Linked DNA regions of Oryctolagus cuniculus. The protein of the gene in region 1 binds, or shares a complex with, the protein of each later gene. Links are inferred from orthologs where the notes say so. Each region holds a gene or a part of one and is shown on either strand. Other genes may lie near its edges.

Region 1 (5,015 bases):
GCCCCGTCCCGGCCTCCCGCTCCAGAGCCCTGACGCATGCTCACTGGTACTTCTCCAGGGCTGTGTAGAGCGCATCCCAGAGGTTCTGCTTGGAGGAAGGGATGACCGTGGTCAGCGCCCTCCAGTACTTGGAGTCTTCAGAGTCATCGCGCTCCTCCTTCCGCATCTTCCGCGGTGCCCGGGCATCCCTGAAGGTCAAGAGCAACGGAGCCGTCATTGCCCCACCCCTGTCCCTAGCAGTGCCGTCACCTGCTGAAGCCAGGCCCACACTGCTCTTCCACCCTTCCTTCCCGCTCGGCTCTCCGGGCCTGACGCTCGGCTCTCCGGGCCTGACGATCGGCAGGACACGGTTCCGGGCCCTGGGTACCACCAGACATCCTGAAAGCATCACCACCCCCACCCCAGTTTACGCCCCGCCCCCAGTGACTGCATGTCCACACCCACTTCTTTCACAAAGGCATCTGAAACGGCTCTCACTTGGTCACCCCCTCTGATGGCCTCAACCCAGGACACTGCCACCTCCTGAGTGCTCTCCCTGTATTCTCTCTCTCTCTCTCTCTCTCTCACACACACACACACACACAGCTGCCAATAGGATCTTTCTAAAATGCAGCCCTGACCTGGGCTCCCCCGCGGCTCCCAGCTCTTTCCTGGCCCCAGGCCCACAGGCGCAGTGAGAGCTGGCCGGCTCCTCGCCACCAGCCCCAGCCTCACAGCCCATGGCACTGTGGTCATCCCTCCCTGTCCTGAGTCCCAGGCGCACCAGGCCTTCCCTTGGGCCCTTGCGTCCTGAAAAGCCCTGTCCCCACCTGATGCACCTGGGAGCACCCAGCTCCTGTGCCAGCTCCTCCCAGAACCCTCTCTGATAGGCCACTTCCTCATGAACCACACAGTGCACCTGCTACCGTGCTCCGGCATTGTTCTCTCCATGGCGCCCTCACCTGGCAGGCCTAGCAACTGCTTGCCAAATGAATGCATGATGAGTGAATAAAGTGCCCAGCACTGCCATACCCCTTTCCTTCTCAGCCCAGCGACCCCTCCGGCCCTCCTCTGGAGGCCCACTTCCTGCCCCCGCGGCCCTCACTGCCCTCTGCCAGGCTCCGTGCCCGAGCCGCGGTTCACCTGGGCTTCCGCAGGCCCATGACAAAGGCCTCCAGCACCTTGAGGACGTCGTTGGGGTGAATGAGCTTGGGGGAAAGCGGGCTCTCCCTCTCTGCCTGCTCCCCTTCCACCGGGCTCTCCGCCTCTCCCTCGGGCGCCGTCTGCTCGGCCAGCTCCTCCTCGGAGGCTGACGTCAAGCTCAAGTGCTCGGGCACAGATACCACGCTCGTCTGCTCCATGAACGACACCGTGCTCAGCCGCTCTGCGTTCACTTGGTCCGAGGGGGCGATCTGGGGAAAGGTGCAAGGGGACCACAGTCAGGGACGCCCACGCCCCACTGCAGGAAGGGCAAGCATGGCGTGAGACGTCCAGAAACCTGGCCGGGGTGGAACAGAGGCCAACATGGGCGGGGGGGGGGGGGTGCTGGGAGAGGCACACGAGGGCTTCCAGACAGCACCGGGGTTCTTCCACATCTGGTCACACAGGGGTGCATCTCACTGATACTCTTTTTTTAGGATTTATTTACTTGAAAGGAAGAGCTACAGAGAGGCAGAGAGAGAGAGAGGTCTTTCATCCACTGGTTCACTCCCCAAATGGCCACAATGGCCAGAGCCGGGCCAGGCTGAGGCCAGGAGCCAGGAGCTTTTTCTGGGTCTCCCACATGGGTGCAGGGGATCAAGGACTTGGGCCAGTTCTTCTGCATTCCCAGGCCATTAGCAGAGAACTGGGTTGGAAGGGGGCAGCCAGGACTCACACCGGTGCCCATACGGGATGCCAGCATTGCAGGTGGCGGCTTTACCCGCTACGCCACAGCGCTGGCCCCTCAATGATATTCTTAAAGCTTACACATTATACATATCCTTTTGAATCATAATACAAAATAAATGTCTTCAATTTTAAATTTAGTCTCCTTCCTATTTCTGTCCCGAAATCTACTCAGTTTACCTCCTGGGGTTAAGCAGATCCAAGAGACCGAGTTTCTCCCGACCCCTCCCAAAGAAAGCAACGGCCCCCAGCCCTGGCTCCCCTTCCATGCCACCGCTCGTCCCCGACTGTGTGCACAAAGAACTTCCTCCAGCCCCACAGCGCGGTGTGAACCTCACCCTCTGCCATTTCAGACGATGCCTGAAGAGCGAGCAGCTCATCTGCACCTCGGCCCCACTGCGCCGGGAGCCAGCGTGAACCCGGAGCCCAGAGAGGAGCAGCCGACGTGGCCAAGGGCTGCGCCCTGGAGGGCACAAGTGACACTCGGACTCTGCCATCACCATGATCTGGGGAACGAGGCGGGCAGCTGGACAGGGCGCTGGAGTTTGTGCTAACCCTGCACTGCGACTTTATCCCTCTCACCCATCAGCTTCGACACGCCCACCTTCCCTGTCACACCCACCTGCACCTGTCTCAGCTGGGACCGGGCAGGAGAGGACGCCATGACGACCACGTGGAAGTCAAATCCCAGACAGCACCACACTCCTGCCTCATAAAGGAGACTGGCGGTGGGGCAGGGGCTCCACTGCCCTGACCGGGCTTCCTCGCTGAGGCACCGCTCCGTGTTGGGGGGCCACACTCACACCTGAACTGATGTCCACTCTGCCTTTAGCATGTCCACTCTCACTTCTGCACTGCGTGAGGCCTCCACTTTGCTAGCAGGAAGCTAGAAATGCACCCACAGGTGAGAGGGGCAGGGAGCCAGCAACTGCAGACGTCCCCTTCGGAAGCAGCCCCGTGTTTACACTGCACTGCCCTGCCCAGACCCTGGGAACTTTCCAAGTGGTCTCAGCCCTTCCCTGAAGGGAAGCTCCCAGGAGGGTGCCCCCCTGCTCGACGGGGCACCTGGCCTGGTGACCTCTACAGCCTTCCTCCAAGACGGGCACCCTGGGGGAGGAACCCGTCCCAATTCACACTCAGCAAACCCTTTCCCCTGGAGGAGGAGGAGGAGCGGGAGGAGGAACGGCGGGGGGAACTCGGCCCCTTTCCCCTATAAGGCCCCGCCTGAAGACGGACTGCGCCCAGCACTCGGCTCCCTCTGGCCTGCCAGGGGCATTCGCTCTATTCAACCACGTCACCTTGCCTTCCCCAGTCTGAGCGACTGGCCACCTCTCGGATTCTGTACCACCCGGTTCTGATGGATGCCCTACCCCGTAAGCCTTGCCTACCACAGCTGTCTATGCCTGAAATCTTTCTCACGGGAAGACAAGACCCCACCCCCAACTCTGAAGTCTCCTCTCTGTGGGCAGCAAGAACCTGGAGCCAGATTAAGATCCACGGATCCACAGCCCGTATCAGCCATGTGTTAGTGAACTTCCATGGTGGTGACAGCCCAGCAGGTGGAAAGTGGAATCTGGGAAGCTTTGGCGCACGCTGCTTTTACTACAGGGAAATCCGACGGCTTTGTAGGAGTTTAAAGGTCGTCTCTACCGCCTCCTGGGGCATTCATTCTTATCTATCATCCGCTCTACTGAATTCCTGGTCATTTTCATACTGGTTTCTGGGAGCTCTTTATATACCAAGGAAACTGGCCCTCCCTGTAATATGAGTTGCAAATACTATTCACCAGGCCATCATTGTCCTCCTAAGGTTGCACACAGTGACTGCTGCCCTGCAGAACACCTATGAAAACTGTCAGTGCATCGTCTTCTCTTCTCCTTCACGCTTCTCGGCTTTGTCCACCGGTCAGCTCTTCCTGAGACACATCAGGATACTCACCGCGTGGCTAGCCAGGCTGAAACATTGTGCAAATTCAATGTTTTTATTTCACACCACACTTCTGTAGCTTACACTGTCAGTATGACGACTTCTCCGGATGGGCTGACCTGGTTACGGCGGAGGTGTGGGCGGCCGTGGGCTGACCTCGCAGTGCCTTCCCCCGCCTTGAGGCCGGGCCCAGGGAAGGAGCAGCCGCCTCTCAGCCCCAGCAAACAGGAAATGAGAACAAGGGAGGCTGGGGGTGGCCCCCCGCACAAACCCCCAAACTCCCCACCATCTCTGCAGAAGGGCCGCTCCCTGGGGCCGCTCTCCCCTCGGCCCAAGGTCTCCTCACCTGGCTGGAGGACAGATGGTGAGCCCGGTATTTCAGGAAGAAGTGCACCAGCTTGTACAGGTCCTCCTCGCTTTCGATCCCCAGGGCCTGCAGAGGAAACAGCACGGCTGCCCCAGCGCCCGCGACAGCGGCCTTGGGCCCAGGGTGCTCCGCCCAGTGTCCTGGAGGCTGCCCTGGCCCACGGCACGGGGCATTCACGGGGCGTGGGGCACCTCCAGGAAACGGGCGCCTTTGTGCTGACAGCAGCGCTGCTGGCTGATGTGGGGGGGTGGGGGTGGGAGAAGTTGATGACAGGCGGCTGCACACACAACTGCGAAGCCAGGGCGCACCAGAGACGCGGGCAGGGTGCAGCCCGGGGACAAGCCGATGGCTGATGGCTGCGTGCAGGGGCAGGGCAGGGCAGCCCGGAGCCCAGTGGCACTCTGGGAGACCCTGCCTACTCCCAGGGTGGAGACGAGTTCCAGGTCGGGCAGACGGGGCTGTCCCCGGCCCGGCCCGCGGCACTCACCGAGAAGATGGCGTCCAACCGCAGCAGGTAGCACTCGCTCGTCTCCAGGGGCAGGAGGAGGCTCATCAGCTTGCTCTCTATGAGGAAACCCTGAGGAGGCGCAAGAAGGTGGCTCCAGTCAGAGGGGGGCTTCAGCCTGCGGCTGCGCACAGGAGCAAAACCCAGGAGGCGAGCAAGGCCTTGTGCGCATGCCCGAGCCTCTGCAGGGGCACGGCCAGGGCCTGCCCTGCCTCAGACATGAGTGCCCTGCACCCATTCCCCTCAGCCACCAGCCACTGGGCGCACACCCAGGCCCCCCCCACAGCGGTCCAGACCCGACCCGGTCACAGCACTGACCCCCCAAGTGCTGCAGAATGCCGAGCTGGGCGA
Region 2 (6,092 bases), on another chromosome or scaffold:
AGAGTAGAGATCTTCCATCTGCTGGGTCACTCCTCAAATGGCGGGAATGGCCAGGACTGGGCCAGGTTGAAGCCAGGAGGCAAGAGCCTCTCCCACATGGGTGCAGGGGCCTAAGCACTTGGGCCACCTTCTACTGCTTTCCCAGGCCATTAGCAGGGAGCTGGATCAAAAGTGGAACAGCCGGAACTTGAACCAACACCCATATGGGATGCCAGCATTACAGGTGGCAGCTGTACCTGATATGCCGCAACGTGGGCCCCTTAATGACTTTGGTTCTTACTGAATATAACCACTGGGGCATTAGACAACACAACAGTGGACTGATAATTTTAAAGGAGTACCCTGCCTGTAGCAACGAAAGGGTGATAAAGATGAAAACATTTCCCCAGAGATTTTAATGGTCTGGTGTGAACTGACATCTAATGTTCTACACGTAGTAACTTTAAGAACATAAAAAAATACTATTTAAGTATTTAACCAAATGAATTGAGAATCATAACACAATGAATTGGCTCCTTCCTTTAAACAATTAATAGCTAGTGGCTGGGCACTGTGAATTAGTAGGCTAAGCCTCCACCCCTGGTGCCGGCATCCCATATAGGTGCCAGTTCAAGTCCTGGCTGCTCCTCTTCCAACCCAACTCTCTGCTGTGGCTGGGGAAACAGCATATGGAGGCCCAACTGCCTGGGACCCTGCACTAGCATGGGAAACCTGGAAGAAGCTCCTGGCTTCAGAAGGGCCCAGCTCCAGCTGGGTGGCCATTTGTGGAGTGACCCAGCAGATGGGGGATCTTTCTGCCTTTCCCTCTCAGTCTGTAACGCTATACTTTACATAAAAATTAAAACACAAAAACAAAAAACTTACTTATTAAAAAACCAATTAACAGCTGCAATTTTTCCAAGTGCTAAACCACCACCACCCACAAAACATTCTGCTGTAACCTCTCATTTAGTTCCCTCAAAGACCCAAAATAGGGGCCACAACAGCACTTTACCAACATCTTATTTATTCTTTTGGTAGAAAAATGAAAAATGTCAACAGCATTATAAACTTACTTCTTTGCTTTGTACACATAAGCACACCTCTTGCCCAAGTAGAATTCAGTTTCATCCCGAGCATAAACACCTTCAATTTTAAGCAGTGCCGTGTGTTCCCTTTGGTTCCGGAGACCTCGCTTATAGCCAGCAAAAATGGCCTTGCACCACAGTCTAAGACACAAGATACAGAACAGTGTATGAAAGCTGTTAAAGCATCTACAAACCACCAATATGATTTGACCCCAATGACTCCCGCCTACTTCGGTCATGTCCGATTTCACTATGAGTATCTATAGCATCTGATTTTCTCTTCCAGCATTTCGTGCTCTTTTAAGCCCATGTCTAACACAGAAACTACAAAGCGAGAACATTAGAAACACGTACCTTCCAGACATAGCTGCCTTCTAGAAGTCCTGCTCCCTGCAGGCCTTAAAAAAAAAAAAAAAAAGACTCAGTTTAAAGCCGTGCCATGCCAATTTCCCACCTTGTCGTCCGTTTCTTAAGCCTGCTGTGTCCTTTTTGATCGGCACTCCACCTGGCATGGGGGGGAACCTTAATTATGCTATAAGGTCTATACGAAAAGCAGTCCGTCAAGACTTGCAAACTTCAGAATGGCTGTTACCTAATCAAACTCCAAAGACAGATAAGCCAGGGCAACACACGGAAAGAGCCAATTCCTATAAACTTCAAGAGGAAACCCCCAAAAAAGAAACGAAAACTCAGGAAAGAATGCAGTTAAGCGCAGGGAAAAAACTTCTATGAATCGGCTTAGGACAGAAGAGCTGCGGAGATTACAGGCAAAAACATGTTTGGAGTAGAAGCAAATTGAAAAGGCCCAACGTTAAGCCGCTCACGCGCCAACTTCAGACCGACAGAGTGCATCTATTTCACATCGCTTGAGCCCAGGAACCAAGTCCCATTACCGGGGCACCAGGTCTCCGGGCGCGAGGGGACCTGCACCATCAGCCCCCCATCTCTTCCATCCCGTCCTCCCTCTTCCTGGAAACCATAGCAATCACTGGCTGGCAGGGCCTCAGAGCCGCACCAGACCCTCGTCAAGGTATATAGGTGAACCCAACCCGGTTATTTGCCTCCAAAGTTCAGCAGCAAACGCTCCACTCACCTCCACAGGCTCCAAGATGGCGGAAAGAGGAAGACGAGGCCCCGCCGCGTGGCCTTGTGGGATAAATACCTCCCCGCCCCGCCCCAAATTTAGGCATCTTCCGCGATCGCCAGAAAAACAAGCAGCAGAAATCATCTTGGGACTGAAGTGAACTACATTCAAGAGAACTTTTACAAATTCCTTTTCTAGGTCTTTCTATCTTTCTAAGCTGCAGTATGTATCATTTGGGAACAGCGGCGGGCAAGAAGACAGCCAGCTAAAGGAAGGGGGGGAAGGTCCCCAAACTCGTGTCGCCATAGAAACAGGTCCGCTTGGTTCTCGGGTACGCGGATTCCGTAGGTGGAAAGGCGAAGACGTTGCTCTGCCTCAGGTGCCTAATGCCGGGGTTCCTTTCCCATCTATGACACGGGAGTAGGGCGAACGGAGACTCGCGTCCTACCCGAGTCTGGAAGAAAAAGGCCGGGATCGCGAAGGCAGGAGCTCTCCCTTCTCTTCACCTATGTTTTTACTTCTCTCCCCCTCTACTCCTTTATCTCTTGAGAAATGGCTAAGTCCTTACTTCTAATTGCAGCCTTCGTTTTGACTGAGGGGGTAAGGAGGCCTGCTCTGCCTGGGCCTTTATAGGAGAATGTTTGAGCTTCCCGCTAGAAGCTCAGGGTGGCCAGCGCCGCGCCCACGCGTGGTAAATCCTGGGTAGAAACTACAGTGGATGGATTAGTGGACAGCAGAGATTTAAGCTGCCTAACTTTTGCACATTTATCTGAGTTGCCCTGCGGATTCTTTGATTATTTAGCCAGTAGTTTACTGAATGACTACCGCTTACCAACATTTATTGTAGGTTTGGAGGGTACTGCAGCAAACCAACCAACCAGAAATCTCTGGGCGAGACCATGCGTCTGCATATGAGCCATTCGAGGGTAATACTTCCATGGAGAAAAATTCAACAGGCCACCATAGGAAGGCTTTTTGCCCTCCCATCTGAGGTTTCTGAAGATGGAGAGTGACTCTAGCTGATACTTTTTTTTTTACCAGGATTCAACTGTGTTGACAAGGAACACAAGGGCGCCCGGGAGGCTGCTGTAATGATCCTAATGAGAGATGATGGTGTGTAGACAGGGCTGTTGAGTCCTGGAGTTCCTAAGGCATTTTAAATGTAACACTGGCAAGATTGGCTGATTAGTAAGTCACATTTAAGTCAGATCCTCTCTTAGGTACAGCAGGATAGGGCTTATGTCCCTTGTAGCCACCTGCCCCATCCCTTTTTCTCTGCCACAGAAATGTACTAGAAATCCCGCTCTTAAGAGATTAATTTCTTTAAAAAAAAAAGATTTATTTATTTATTTGAAAGAGTTACACAGAGAGAGGAGAGAGAGAGAGAGAGAGGTCTTCCATCCGCTGGTTCACTCCCCAATTGGCCGCAACGGCTGGAGCTGCGCCAGTCAGAGGCCAGGAGCCAAGAGCTTCTTCTGGGTCTCCCATGTGGGTGCAGGGGCCCAAGCACTTGGGCCATCTTCTACTGCTTTCCCAGGCCGTAGCAGAGAGCTGGATCAAAGTGGAGCAGCCAGGTCTTGAACCAGTGCCCATATGGGATGCCAGTGCTTCAGACCAGGGCATTAACCCACTGCGCCACAGTGCCGGCCCCAAGAGATTAATTCCTTAAGGTTCTAAATGAAAGTCTTCCCAGGGGAGAAGCATACATGAAGTGCAAGTTTCATTCATTTCACAAATCCTTATTGAGCACAGGGGCTGAAATGTAGAATCTGTCAGCATCATTGTCATGTTTCCTGGTCTGATGGAACTTAACGGCCTAGTGGGGGAAATTTACATAAGCATTAAAAATTGTGTGGCGAGCTGTGCTTGAAAATAGAGTGCTGTGAGTGCGTGAACAGAGGGCTCCTAGTGCAGCCTGATGAGTCAGAGCAGGTATCACTCGGAGGAAATGTCATCTAAGGTGTTTTTCAAACCATGGGTGATGAGCATTAATAGATTGTGATCATAATACTACTTTTTAAAAAGGTGTATTTATTTATGTGAAAGGCAGACACACACACACACACACACACACACAGAGACACACAGGTATTCCTAATGCTGGTTCACTTCCCTAGGTCTGGCCAGGGTAAAGCCAGGAGCCAGCAATCCCATCAGGTCTCCCATGTGGAGCCCAAGTACTGGGACCATTTCCCAGGTGCATTAGCAGGAAGCTAGATTGGAAGCAGAGTAGCTGGGACTCAAACTGGCACTTGTAGTTGGGATGCTGGTGTCACAAGCCAGTGGCTTGGTCCTCTGTGCCACAATGCCAGCAAAGACGTAATTTTTGTTCATTTATTTATTTCAGAGACAGAACTCCCATCTGTTGATTCACTCCCCCAGATGCCTGCAGTGACTTGGGCTGGTCCACCTGAAACTGTGAGCCAGGAACTCACTCCATGTCTCCCACGTGGGTGGCAGGAATTCATTTAATAGGATCAGCACTGCTGCTTCCCCGGATCTATATAATAAAGCTGGAGTCAGGTGCCAGAGCCCAGTATTGAGCCCAGATGCTCAGATATGGGACACAGGTATCTTAACTGGAATCTTAACCACTAGGCAAAATCTACTGCCCGGGGTACTTTTTAAAAAATTAGTGAGATTTTGTTATTTATGTATTTACTTATTCAAAAGGCAGAGTGACAGAGAAGGAGAAACAGAGAGTTCTTCTATCTGCTTGTTCACTCCCCAAATGAACACAATAGTCAGGGCTGGGCCAGGCTGAAGCCACGAACTAGGAACTCCATCTGAATCTCCTGTGTGGGTAGTAGTTACCCAAGTATCTGGGCCATCATCTGCTGGTTGCCCAGGCACACGAGCAAGAAGCTTTATCGGAAGCAGAGCAGCTGGGACTCAAGTCCTGCCTTTTGAATGCAGGATGCTGGAGTCACAAGTGGCAGCTTAACCTGCTAAGTTACAATGCTGGCCCCATAGTATTTTTTAAATAAAATATGATAACTCAGAATTATCAGACTATCACACAGGGTAAATGCTTTCAATGAAACTCTTGTTGTAGTTGTTTGTGTGAGAGTACGTACATAAATGTGTAAGTGTACCAAGTCATTGTGTCGGTCAGTGTTGCCCTGGAAAGAAACCACTGGCAGAACTGAGAGTCTCTTAAGGGATCTGTTTACAAAGGGGTAGGCAGGAGCTAACACTGTAAAGAATGTAGTCTCCAGAGACTTCTCTCGGCATGTAGTTACCTAGGCCCTGAGAGGGAGTGGTTAGGAGAGGATTGTCTGATAGGAACAATGGCCTTTGAGAAAGGAATACAGCCCCTAAATGATACTGGCAGGGAGAGAGGGGGAATCGATATTCATCCTTGACCTTCCTTGCCTACAGTTGGATCTTTTTCTGGACTCTCTGTTGATGCACTCCAAATGGATCAGTCTCTTGAGAGCACAGAAATGTAGGAGATTGGGTGGAGAGGACAAAAGGCATATACCTAGAAAAATGCCACAACCTGGATTGGTACCTGATAGCTCAACAGAGCTTTACAAGATGAAGAGGTGACAGGAAGTGGTTCCAAGTTGCAGGAAAAGCATTTGCAAAGGTCCCGAGTTTGAAAGGAGCATGATTCCATAGAAGCCCTGAGACAAGCCTGTGGAGGCCAAACCCAAGACTGCAAGGAAAGGACGGGGCAGGTGGTTTTGGAGAGGAGCAAGGTATGGGAGGGTTAGGGCAGATCCTGTGGGCCAAGTTAAGAATTTGGTCTTTCTTTTTTTTTTTTTTTAATTCAGATTTATTTATTTATTATTTGAGAGGTAGAGTTACAGACAGTGAGAGGGAGAGACAGAGAGAAAGGTCTTCCATCTGCTGGTTCACTCCCCAAATGGCGACGGCGACTGGAGCTGTGCCGATCTGAAGCCAGGAGCCAGGAGCTTCCTCCAGGTCTCCCACGC
Region 3 (5,804 bases), on another chromosome or scaffold:
TGGGGGAGGGGAAGACGATGGCAGCCTTCTAGGAGAAGACCTAAGTTTGCCCCCGCACTGAACCTGGATCTTGTCAGCCTCCCTTGGAGAGGAAAGGCCCAGGGCAGGGCGGGGCACCTACCCAGCTGCTTGCGGAGACCCCTCACTTCCTCCTCCAGCTGCTTGCTGCGTCTCTCCATCTGCTCCTGCAGGGCCCTGCACCGGCGACTCATCTCTGGAGGGAGGACGGTGGACGGCCAGGGATGGAGGAGGGATGGAGAAAGGCAAGGAGTTGGGGGCGGGAAGGAACTGTGTGGTCCAGGAGACAGGAGCCCAAGGAACTGCTCAGTTCCTGTGATCCTGGGATGCTGGGAGACCCTGGACACCTGGGGAAAGGGAAGGACACCAGGCCGCCTCCCCACTCCGGCTTAGGATCAGGGCCCCAGCCCATCTGCCCGCTCACTGCTGCTGAGTGAATGAAACAGTGGCTGGGACTGCGTCCTGTGTCCCCCAGTGCAGCTGGCACTGACACTGGCCCCAGGCACCCTGGAAGGTCCCTGCCTGCGAGCCCAGAGGCCTCCTTGCATCCACCAGGAGTTGCCTGCTTTGTGCTACGCAGGGAAGGCTGAGACCGGGCCCGGCAGTCAGAAGCCCCTCTTATCTTCTCCCAGGCCCTTGTGTCCTGCCCAGCTGCTGAACCGACCACGCACCTGCATATACGGCCTTCCCCTCGCTGCGGGCCTCTTCCAGTTCAGCCTCCAACTCTTGCAACCTCTGCTTCAGCCTTTCTTCAGAAGCCTTGGCTCGACGGGCCCCTTCCCCCTGTAGAGCTGCGAGCGGTCCCGGAGCCCTGCTCAGAGCCTGCTGAGGGCCGCTGAATCAGCCCCAGAGGGCTGGATGGCCTTTCCTGTCTCTAGAAATCCGGTGGTAGCTGGAACAGGTGCTGTGGTATAGTGAGTAAAGCCACTGCCTGCAGTGCTGGCATCCCATATGGGCACCAGTCAGGTCCTGGCTGCTCCACTTCTGATCCAGCTCTCTGCTATGTCCTGGGAAAGCAGTGGAAGATGGCCCAATGCCTTGGGCCCCTGCACCTGCCTGGGAGGCCTGGAAGGAGCTCCTGGCTCCTGGCTTCGGATCAGTGCAGCTCCAGCCATTGTAGCCAACTGGGGGAGTGAACCAGTGGATGGAAGACCTCTCTCTCTCTCTCTCTCTCTCTCTCTCTCTCTCCTTCTCTCTCTATGTAACTCTGACTTTCAAATAAATAAATAAATCTTAAAAATAAAAGACACCTGGGGGCAGGGCACCCCACCTCTTATTCTTTCTCTTTCTCTTTCTGTTTTTTTTTTTCTTTTTAAGTATTTATTTTATTTATTTGAAAGGCACTGTGGCAGAGAGAGAGAGACAGAGACAGAGAGAGAAAGATTGTCCATCCACTGATTCACTCCCCAAATGGCTGCTATGGCTGGGGCTGGGCCCCAGTACTTGCACCATTACCGGCTGCTTTCCCAGAAACATTAGCAGGAGTTGGACTGGCAGTGGAGCAGCCAGTGGGATGCTGGTGTCGCAGGTGGTGACTGAACCCATGTCACCACAATGCCCGCCCCTTTCTGTCTCTCCAGGTTGTTGGGTCATTTTATTTTCCTAGGATCTCATGAGCTTTTCATTGCTAAGGAGTAAAACCTCCCTCCATGTTCTGGCTGTAAATAATAGCGTCCCTCATCAGCCTTCCCTGTCCTGTTCCACTAGGGGATGGTTAGGGTTTGGCGTAGCTTCCACCGTGGCTCCAAACGTCCAGTCCCGCCAGGACACAGCAGCGCCCCCACTGCTCTGCTTCTGTGGTCCCAGATAGCTCACCCTTCTTACCCAGCCGGTCTCGGAGCAGCTCCGTCTCCAGCACCAGCTGTCTGTGCTTGGACTCGGCCTCCACATCTGTCCTGGCAAATGACAGAGCCTTAGCTTACATGACCCCCGCCCCCGGCCCTGGACTCCGTCCTGAGCCAGCTCTGAGGGCTCCCTGCGGGCAGAGTCCATTCAGCATGCACCGTGTGCTCCCTGCCCAGCACAGATGAGGCATTCAACATATGGGTGACCAGTGGGGAGGCACAGAGCTGGGCGGTCTCGAGGGAGGGCGTGGGTGACCATTCCCCCATTCCTCAGCTCCGTGGAATCTGGACAGCGAGGACTGTGCTGCGGGCCTCTGCTTGGTCTCTGTTTCAGAACCCAGAGAAACGGGCACCCACCCCCACCCACGACGACTCACCCGGCCCTGGGTTCTTTTTCTTCTTCTGCACGCCGGCTTTCCTGCCTTTCTGTTTGGTCTTGGGTGGCATTTCCTTGCTGTCCTGATGGAGGGAGGGGACCTTGCTTTCAAATCTGGACAAGGGGATCCTGAACCAGGAGTCTTGGGAGGGTCAGAAGTCTGCTTTCCAAGTCTGCCCCTTTCTCTTGTTTTAAAGACACAAGTCTTTCTTTTTTAAAGATTTATTTATTTCAAAAAAATATTTATTTAGTTGAAAGCCAGAGTTGGGGCAGGGGGTGGAAGGAGAGATCTTCCATCTGCTGATTTAGTCCCTAAATGGCCCCAGTGGCCAGGGTTGGGCCAGGCAGAAGTAAGGAGTCTGGACCCCTGATCTCCCACGTGGGTGCCGGGGCCCCAGGACTTGCCCATTCTCTGCCGCCTTCCAGGCACATTAACAGGGAACTGGATCAGAAGTGGAGCAGCCAGGACTTGAACTGGCACTCGAATGGTACTTTAGAAAGTTCGTGGGATACAGACTGGGCATTCGGTCTAGTGGTCAAGACGTCCACAGTCCATATCAGAGTGCCTGCTGCACTCCTGGCTGCAGCGCCTGACTTCTGCTTCCTGCTGCAGAGACTCGGGGAGGTAGCAGGGTGATTCAAGCAGGTGGATTCTTGCCACCCCCTTGGGAGAACTGGACTGAGTTCCCAGCTCCCAGCTTTGGCCAGGTCCAGTCCCAGCCATTAGGGGAATTGGGGGAGTGAACCAGCAGATGGGGCCTCTGTCTGTCTTTCTGTCGGTCTCTCTCTGACTCTCAACATAGTTACAATTAAGGGAGAAATGAGAACAACAACAACAACAAAAGAACAAAAAAGTTAATAGAAAATACAGTTAAATCCATTCACAGTTTCTTTCTTTTTTTTTCTTTTTTCTTTTCTTTTTTTTTTTTTCTTTTTTTGACAGGCAGAGTGGGCAGTGAGAGAGAGAGACAGAGAGAAAGGTCTTCCTTTGCCGTTGGTTCACCCCCCAATGGTTGTTGCAGCCTGCGCGCTGATCCGAAGCCAGGAGCCAGGTACTTATCCTGGTCTCCCATGGGGTGCAGGGCCCAAGCACTTGGGCCATCCTCCACTGCACTCCCTGGCCACAGCAGAGAGCTGGCCTGGAAGAGGGGCAACCGGGACAGAATCCGGCGCCCCGACCAGGACTAGAACCCGGTGTGCCGGCGCCGCAGGCGGAGGATTAGCCTAGTGAGCCGCGGCACCGGCCCACAGTTTTTTTTCACAATACACATGTTCTATGAGCTTTTTGAACATCCCTCAAATATACTTGGAAGAATTTTTTGCACCAAAATAAGCTTGTCTTTTAATTACATTTCCCACAAACCTTTACTTTCCAGAAGCTTCAGTTGCCGGTCTCCTTGGAGCCTCAGGCGGGGCTGGGGTCAGTGGGGAAGACACTGCATACAGAAAGCTGTTACTCTCAGCTCTCTTGGCGAAGATACATTCCCATAGCTGTCCCCTCCCTCTTGCCTTCATCCTTACCTCACCTCCACCACTTGTCAGACCCTCTCTTGCCTGTGTTGGGTCTCCCTGTAGAGTGAGCCACTCGTGGGGAGAGACAGAGAGAAGGCCCAATAAGCTAGGAGCCTGAGGAGGAGCCTGCGTCCTGGGAGCCAATCCAAGGCAGCACATTTTCCTCAGGGGGCTGGACTGAGAACTGGAAGGTTGGGTTTCTGGAGGTTGCATGTTGCCCAGGCAACTGAGCAACATGGAGTTCATGAGAAGGTGCAATAGGCCAGATCAACTCACAATGCCTAAAAGACCAAGGTCTGGGAAAGGTAGTTCTCCTTTCATCCACAAATCCTAAGCATAGTTTGAAAAGAAAGGGCTTTGGAGCAAACTAGCTGTGATTCACTTCCACGTAGGTGCTGTCATTTGGAGACTCAGAAATGACAGATTTGCACGGCTGAGACAACACTGTTGTGCGGATGTGGAGGAAAAGCGTGATGGCAGCCGTCTTGGACGATCCACATCCTGAGATCCTATTGCAAGATGACCTTGTGCTGAAACCGGAAGCGTCCCTTCGGCAAGGCATTCTGCAGGGTGCAGGAGCAGGTGCTGGGGCAGACTTCCAGAAAAATGAGACACAGAGGAGTGAGGACCCGTAGACTCTGGGGTATTGGCTTGGCGGGATGGACACTGGTTAGGGACCAAAACTGCAGCACAGGCCCCCTCTCTGGAGGTGGAAGCTATTTAACTTGGTTTAGCCTGCTTCCTGCCTTTTACATCACGGAGTTGGTAAATTCTGAAGGTCCTGGGTCTTGACTGGGTATTTACATGACTGTCTTATTGCACCCACTGAATCTATTGCCTTTAGGTGGTTGATTTTCAGAAACTACCTTGAGGGGCTCCCTGTACCATAGAGTTGGTTGGGGCTCCCTCTAGTGGACTCGCTTGTATTCCCAAGTCTGCTAAATTTTTTTTTTATATAGATTTATTTCATTTATTTGAAAGGCAGAACGACAGATACAGAGAGAGACAGAGATCGTCCATCTGGTTTTCTCCCTAAATGCCAACCACAGCCATGTCTGAGCCAGGCCGAAGCCAGGAGCCCAAGACTCCATCCAGGTCTCCCACATGGGTGACAGGGGCCCAAATGCTTGGGCCATCAGCTGCTGCTTCCCAGGCGCAGTAGCAGGAATCTGGATTAGAAGTGGAGCAGCTGGGACTCAAACCAGCACTCTGATATGGGATGCCCGCCATGCAGGCAGTGGCTTAACCTTCTACGCCACAGTATCTGCACAAGGTTTTTTATTTTGGATTATCTCTGGGCAGTGTGGGACTGAGTCCCTTTTTGAGGTACTTCCTAGCATCTCGCTAGAGTCACAGTGGTTGGGAAAAATGAGTCTGAGGAATAGGGACTGTCAGGGGGCCAGTGTTGTGGTGTAGTCGGTAAAGCCGCTGCCTGCCTGCAGTGCCGGCATCCCATATGGACGCTGGTTCAAGTCCTGGCTGCTCCGCTTCCAATCCAGCTCTCTGCTATGGCCTGGGAAAGTAGAAGATGGCCCAAGTCCTTGGGCTCCTGCACCCATGTGGGAGACCCGGAATAAGCTCCTGGAACCTGGCTTCGGATTGGTGCAGCTCTGGCCATTGAGACCATCTGGGGAGTGAACCATCACTCTCTCTCTGTCTCTACCTCTCTCTGTAACTCTGTCTTTCAAATAAATAAAAATAAATCTTTAAAAAAGTATATAATCCTTTGAAATCATTATTGTGTTTTTTAATAGTTTTATTCTTTCTTCTAGTTTATTTATTTATTTAAGATTTATTTATTTCAAAGGCAGAGTTACAGAGAGACAGAGGCAGATGAAGAGAGAGAGAGAGCCATCTTCCATCCACTGGTTCATTCCCCAGATGGCTGCAATGGCCAGAGCTGTGCCCATCTGAAGCCAGGAGCCAGGAGCTTCTTCTGGGTCTCCCACACATGTGCAGGGACCCAAGGACTTTCCCAGGCCACAGCAGCACTCTATCTTTCAAATAAATAAATAAATAAATCTAAAAACTCTTTTTTTGACAGGTAGAGTTAT
Region 4 (5,751 bases), on another chromosome or scaffold:
GAGAGGGTGAGTGAGTCACCCAAGATCACACAGCCAGGCAGAGGGAGAGTGGCCACTCAGACCAGGCCGTCTGAAAGCGGAGCCCTCCCTCTGTGTCCTGATCCCAGCCCGGTGCCACCACCCTGCCTGGCTCTTCCTGTGCCCAGTCCTGGTCCACTCTCACCGGGGTTGCAGGGCCCAGAGCCTCCATCCCAACACACTCACGGGAGCTTTGCCGGGCTGGGGAGCGGGGTCTCGGCCAGCTTCCTCTCCAGGTCTCTGAGCGTCTCCGGCGTCATGGTGGTCTCCTTGCGTGCCTCCACCGGCCTCATCATGGCCTTATCCATCCTGTCCGCCCGTTCTGCCCGCTCGGCCGCCTCCTCCCGCTCGGCCGCCTCCTCCTCCTCCACCTTCTCCTTCAGGACCTCCATTCTGGCACTGGGGGAGGGGTGACCCTCAGATCAATCACCGACAGCCGCCAAGCCCCACTGTGCATCCCTGGGACCCCCGGAAATGGTTTCAAGTGGCCTCCAGCACACATACCGGAAGTGATTCCCTCTTTTTTTTTTTTTTTTTTTTTTGACAGGCAGAGTGGACAGTGAGAGAGAGACAGAGAGAAAGGTCTTCCTTTGCTGTTGGTTCACCCTCCAATGGCCGCCGCGGCCGGCGCACCGCGCTGATCCGATGGCAGGAGCCAGTACTTATCCTGGTCTCCCATGCGGTGCAGGGCCCAAGCACTTGGGCCATCCTCCACTGCACTCCCTGGCCACAGCAGAGAGCTGGCCTGGAAGAGGGGCAACTGGGACAGAATCCGGTGTCCCGACCGGGACTAGAACCCGGTGTGCTGGCGCTGCGGCTCACTAGGCTAATCCTCCGCCTTGCGGTGCCGGCACACCGGGTTCTAGTCCTCCGCCGCAAGGCGGAGGATTAGCCTAGTGAGCCACGGCGCCGGCCAGTGATTCCCTCTTAAACTTCCTTTCGGTCAAGGACAAAGTCCTGTGTGGCGCTAGCACCTCTGTAAGCCCACCACCCGCGCTGCGCCTCAGTCTCCGTCTGTGGCCAAGGACACCGTGGCATAGCCAAGCGCCCCCTTCCTGTAAAGGCAGCACCCGAGAGGCACCTGCTGCAGGTGCCTGCTCTCCCCCAGCACAGCCACGTGTTCTACTTGCACAACTCCCTTTAGACAGGCAGGGGCAGTAGCGAGCCAGCATCCTCCTTGGGCCCAGGTTCAAGTCCTGGCTGCTCCATTTTCCTTCCAGTTCCCTGCTAAGGCACCTGGGAAAGCAGTGAAGATGGCCCAAGTGCTTGGGTCGCTGCCAGCCACGTGCAGACCCGGATGAAGCTCCTGATTTCTTGGGGGAGTGAACCAGAGGATGGAAGACCTGTGTCTCTCCTTCTCTCTAACTCTGCCTTTCAAATAAATAAATAAATCTTAAAAAAGAGAAAAACGGGTGCACATCAACTCCTTCCGGGTCTCCCACATGGGTGCAGGGGCCCAAAGACTTAGACCATCCTCTGCTGCTTTCCCAGGTGCAACAGCAGGGAGCTGGATCAGAAGTGGAGCAGCCGGGACTTGAACTGGCACCCATACGGGATGCTGGCGCTGCAGGCGGCGGCTTTAACCCACTGCACCACTACACTGGCCCCTCGCATCTCTTTTGATGGTTATCTTTTCTTTACAGTAATGATGCTAATACTGTATGGATTGCTACCCTTTCATAGGGTCTCCTATTTAGAGGTCTTGATTCAATCCAAAAAGTGACTTGGTTTACAAAAAGCATTCACAACAGTCAAGCGACACAGAATGTGACCAAAAAACCCATGAAGGTTCCAGGTGAGTGACGTCTCATCTCAGCAAACTGCGGCCTGAGGCACAGAGACCAGAGAGACCAAGGCACGTGGATGAGGGGCAGGTGATGGGGTCAGCTCCTGGCCACGCCCTGTGTGGCCAGCAGACAGAGGACAGGCCTGGTTCTGTGACCCATGCTGGCCACAGAGCAGGGCCTGGCTGAGTGGACCCTGTTGTCCTCCCCAGAGATCCAGGCCCTGCCCCACAGCAGAGCCCCACATTGGGGAGGGCAGAACTGTGCCCTCAAATGTTCAGCTTCCAGAGCCTCCTGCAGCTACAGGTGGCGTGCTGGCCTGAGAGGGGACCGAGTTCTGGCCAGTGAGACGTGAGCACAAATTCCCGGGCGGCTGATTAGAGGGCCGAGCCCAGGAGGCCCAGCTGTAACTTTTGTCCTTTCTCCTCCTGCTGCCTGGAAGGGGACCTCCAGCTGGGGTGGGGTGGCCACGGCGTGACTGTGAGGTGACCACACGTGCCTACTAAGGATGGCAGGTGGAGACACGGGGACGGAGGTCCCAGGGGATGCCACAGAGGCCCAAGTGCCAGCTCTAGACTCGTGTGGGTGCAGAGCTCAGCCTCCCCTTGCGTCCCTGCTCCTGGCTGCCCAGCGCCACCCCAGCAGACCCACCGGTCCCCGGTTCCGGCCTTTCCATCACCCCATCTCAAATGTCTACTTCCTCCACAGCCAACAGAGCAAGAGCCCAGCGAGGAGGAAACCCGACCCAACTCCCAGGCTGTGGTGTGGAGCAGGGAGGGAAGGGCAGGTGTCTCCGTTTCTCATCACCCTGCAGAATCGAGCCAGCCCCGAGCATGCAAAGGGGACCAGGAGGTAAATGCTGGCCCGCCCTCCCCGGGGAGACAAATCGCTGGCCAGCAGCCAGGGTTGGGAGAAATCCTGGCTCTGCTCCCTGCTCCTGCTGTGCCCTTGCGCCATGCCCTGCCCCTTCCTGGGCCTCAGTTTCCCCTCCTGCCAGAGGAAGGGAAGACCAGGTGCTTTTGCCCCGTTCTGAAATTCTGTGTTCTAGGACTTGGGATGTGCTGAACGCTCCTGGTGCTGGAAGCCAGTCGGTCAAGGTCACAGCAGAGGCCCCAAGTCCAGGAAGCCCATCCACGAGGCCCGTCTGGGACCCCGGTTCCTGGGGGACAAACCTCCAGCCAAACAGCATGGCTGGGCATCAGATCCATTTCAGCACAAAGAGCATGAGCCCCGGAGGCACTCACAGTTTAGTTAACAGCTACTATGTGCAGACCCCGTGCTAGGGCTGCACAGGGCTATTCTCACGGATCCTCCAACAACTCTGCAGTGCAGACCCTCTTACAATGCCCACTTTGCAGACGACAAGATTGAGGTCTAGAGACCTTCAGGGCAGCACATACAGTAGTAGCTAGTAAGTGGCAGATTTGGGATTCAAACCCATCTCTTCCTGGCTGTGTAAGCCGTGCGTTTCAGAGCCTAATGAGTTAGGAACGTCCAGGAAAGGACGGTGGGAGGCAGGGACGTGGTGAGGAAGGAAAGGAGCAGGTCCAGGTGTCAGAGGGCGCCAGGGGTTACCGTGGAGCCGGCACTGGGTGGCCCTGAACCCAAGGGCAAGGGACCCCTGGAAGAGGGGGGAGGTGGGCAGCTGGGGCCAGAGCTGCAACACCTTATTCTCCCCACAGCTGCTAGGGAGGGCCATCCTGCCTCAAAGCTCCCTGGACCCTGCCCCATCCACAGTCTCTTCCCTGCAACCCCCTCCTCCCCTCTACACACACTCACGAAAACCTCCCCCCAAGATCAGGGCTAAAGACCCCCCAGGAAGAGGCATCCCCCTCATCCCACGACCGTCCCCCTCCCTCTGCCAAGCCAGTCCAGCAGCCCCAGACCCCTGCTCCCTCCTCACCCCTCCGAGGACAGCCTGTGCTAGCTGTTAGCTGTCTCCATGGTAACAGCGTTCCCAAGCTCTGGGCTGGTCCCCGGAGAGGAGGCTCCTGGGAAATGTAGTCTTTGAGTTGTCCCGACTCCCTGGGCCAAAGTGTCCAGGTGATTAAACTTCCAGTTGTCAAACACAGCCTACAAGCAGATGATTATATTACAACAAAAGCAATAGGAGCTGGAAACTCACCCCTTCCGGATTTCCAGGCCCCTGTGGTGACACCCGCCTTGGGGAGAGGGATCCCTTCGCCTTAGTCAAATCAGTCGGGGGCTTACTGAGTGCAGGGGAGCTGCCGAGGGCCACACGCAGGGCCGTTCCTCCCAGCCGCTGTGGTTACTCACCCACAGCACCGCCTCGGCCCCTGCCTCCCAGCCACTGTGGCTTCCCTCCAGGGACACGGAGACCGGGGTGGCTGCTGGGGACAGGCTGGACCTCTGACTTAGCAGATGGCGCTCAGGACAAGGAAAACCCATCCATTACAGTAGGGGCCCAGAGCAGTGTTTATTTATTTATTTTAATTATTTTTTAAAGATCTATTTTATTCATTTATTTGAAAGGCAGAGTTACGGGGGGGGGGGGGGTTGAGTAGAGAGACCTTCTATCTGCTGGTTCACTCTCCAAATGGCTGCAACAGCCAGGGCTAGGCCAGGCCAAAGCCAGGAGCCAGGAGCTCCATCCGGGTCTCTCACAAAGGTACAGGAACCCAAGCGCCTGAATTATCTTCCACCGCTTTCCCAGGCTATTAGCAGAGAGCTGGATCGGAGATGGAAGTGGGGCAGCCAGGACTCAAATCAGCTGACGCTGACATCACAGGCCACAGGCCACAGGTGCAGCTTAACCCACTGCACCACAGCACCGGCCTGCCCCTGGCTTTAGATGCTGCGGCTAACCTCCCCCACTCCACGGCGTCTGCTGATGTCGGCTGAGGTGTCCTTGTCACACGGAACGCCTCGGCTGTGGGGTGGTGACGGGGATTAGCTGGTGGTCTGCTGTTTCCTGTTTGAGAAGCCCTTCCTCATCTTCCCCGTGTTAACCCTACAGCTCTCATGCTCACACCAGAGCTCCTCTCTGTGCCAAGGGGTACAGGCGACCGTGTTCATTCAGTCTCGCGATAACAAGCTGGTGTTCCTCCGGTGGCATCGGCGGCCACCCTCCCCGCGTGGCCTGCCATCCTTGCTGAGTGTCAGCTCACCAGGTGTCCACGGAGCTGACGCTGAGCCCTCTCTTCTGTTCCACTCGAGTCCTTTCCTATCCCTGCAGACTCCACGTTGGGCTTCTCACTCCGACTCTGTGATATCCTCTAGAGCCCGAGGTCAAGTCTAACTTCAACACCCACTCAGCGATTTCAGGCCAGTGGCCTCCACGAGGAGGGGCCAAAAATAAATAACTAAATAAAATGAGTTGAGATCTTTACTGGTATTGCATTGAATTAATGTGTGTCAAGAATTTCACGTCTTCCAATATTAAGGTGTCTACCCGAGGTAGGGCAAATGTGCCTTTTACTTCCGTGTATCGGTTGTGCTGTGATGACGATACCAGGGATGAAGAGAGCCAAGGCCCCTCCCTGCCGCACAGCCGGCTGGCCCCGGGCAGGTGACGGCCAGGTCACGCTCCAGCCTGGTCACATCCCTGTTGGGCTGGGGGCCAGGCCCTGCCCAGCCCTCATGGCCAGTCTCTCATGAGTCCTTTCTGTCCTCAGCTTGGGGGTGGGGGCGGCTACTGCCTGCTCTCCTTCCCAGGCTGAGAGGGGGAGGGGTGGGCCCTGGGCAGGGGCAGGATCTGGCCCCAAGGCCTGTGCTCAGCTGATGTCCCCCCACCCTCCGGGGCTGGTGGAGCCGCTCAGCGACAGTTCTGGGCCTGGGGTATGTTTCTGCCGTAGCACCTGTTGGCCTTAGGAAGTGTGCGCCACTTGGTACTGGGGGTCACTCTTTTAGGGACCCCAGCCCTGCAGCCCCCGCCTGGCCCTGGAGAGGGGAGCCAGCCGGCAGAGGAGCGCGTGCCCAGGTGGGCCAC

The links. Proteins that work in one complex are often made in the same cells at the same time.
Region 2: DRC1 (region 1) and IQCG share a complex: the UniProt entries of both Homo sapiens proteins name them as parts of the nexin-dynein regulatory complex. The link is inferred for Oryctolagus cuniculus from reciprocal best matches to the Homo sapiens genes DRC1 and DRC9.
Region 3: DRC1 (region 1) and DRC12 share a complex: the UniProt entries of both Homo sapiens proteins name them as parts of the nexin-dynein regulatory complex. The link is inferred for Oryctolagus cuniculus from reciprocal best matches to the Homo sapiens genes DRC1 and DRC12.
Region 4: DRC1 (region 1) and DRC7 share a complex: the UniProt entries of both Homo sapiens proteins name them as parts of the nexin-dynein regulatory complex. The link is inferred for Oryctolagus cuniculus from reciprocal best matches to the Homo sapiens genes DRC1 and DRC7.

What each region holds. Positions count from the first base shown.
Region 1 is NC_091433.1:176,384,723-176,389,737, forward strand, and holds part of DRC1 (dynein regulatory complex protein 1), read right to left. Parts: intron 4,737-5,015; coding exon 4,647-4,736; intron 4,226-4,646; coding exon 4,139-4,225; intron 1,392-4,138; coding exon 1,123-1,391; intron 189-1,122; coding exon 45-188; intron 1-44. UniProt on the Homo sapiens protein: Component of the nexin-dynein regulatory complex (N-DRC) a key regulator of ciliary/flagellar motility which maintains the alignment and integrity of the distal axoneme and regulates microtubule sliding in motile axonemes.
Region 2 is NC_091435.1:82,115,840-82,121,931, forward strand, and holds the start of IQCG (dynein regulatory complex protein 9), read left to right. Parts: upstream 1-2,271; 5' UTR 2,272-2,633; exon of another isoform or gene 2,634-2,751; intron 2,752-2,998; exon of another isoform or gene 2,999-3,264; intron 3,265-4,498; exon of another isoform or gene 4,499-4,721; intron 4,722-6,092. Other genes in the region: RPL35A (large ribosomal subunit protein eL33), read right to left, coding at 1,056-1,208, 1,422-1,432. UniProt on the Homo sapiens protein: Component of the nexin-dynein regulatory complex (N-DRC), a key regulator of ciliary/flagellar motility which maintains the alignment and integrity of the distal axoneme and regulates microtubule sliding in motile axonemes.
Region 3 is NC_091432.1:111,112,034-111,117,837, reverse strand, and holds the start of DRC12 (dynein regulatory complex protein 12), read right to left. Parts: upstream 3,822-5,804; 5' UTR 3,760-3,821; intron 3,675-3,759; 5' UTR 3,602-3,674; intron 2,322-3,601; 5' UTR 2,310-2,321; coding exon 2,240-2,309; intron 1,909-2,239; coding exon 1,843-1,908; intron 810-1,842; coding exon 690-809; intron 215-689; coding exon 122-214; intron 1-121. UniProt on the Homo sapiens protein: Component of the nexin-dynein regulatory complex (N-DRC), a key regulator of ciliary/flagellar motility which maintains the alignment and integrity of the distal axoneme and regulates microtubule sliding in motile axonemes.
Region 4 is NC_091449.1:41,176,465-41,182,215, reverse strand, and holds the start of DRC7 (dynein regulatory complex subunit 7), read right to left. Parts: upstream 3,822-5,751; 5' UTR 3,706-3,821; intron 418-3,705; 5' UTR 411-417; coding exon 205-410; intron 1-204. UniProt on the Homo sapiens protein: Component of the nexin-dynein regulatory complex (N-DRC) a key regulator of ciliary/flagellar motility which maintains the alignment and integrity of the distal axoneme and regulates microtubule sliding in motile axonemes.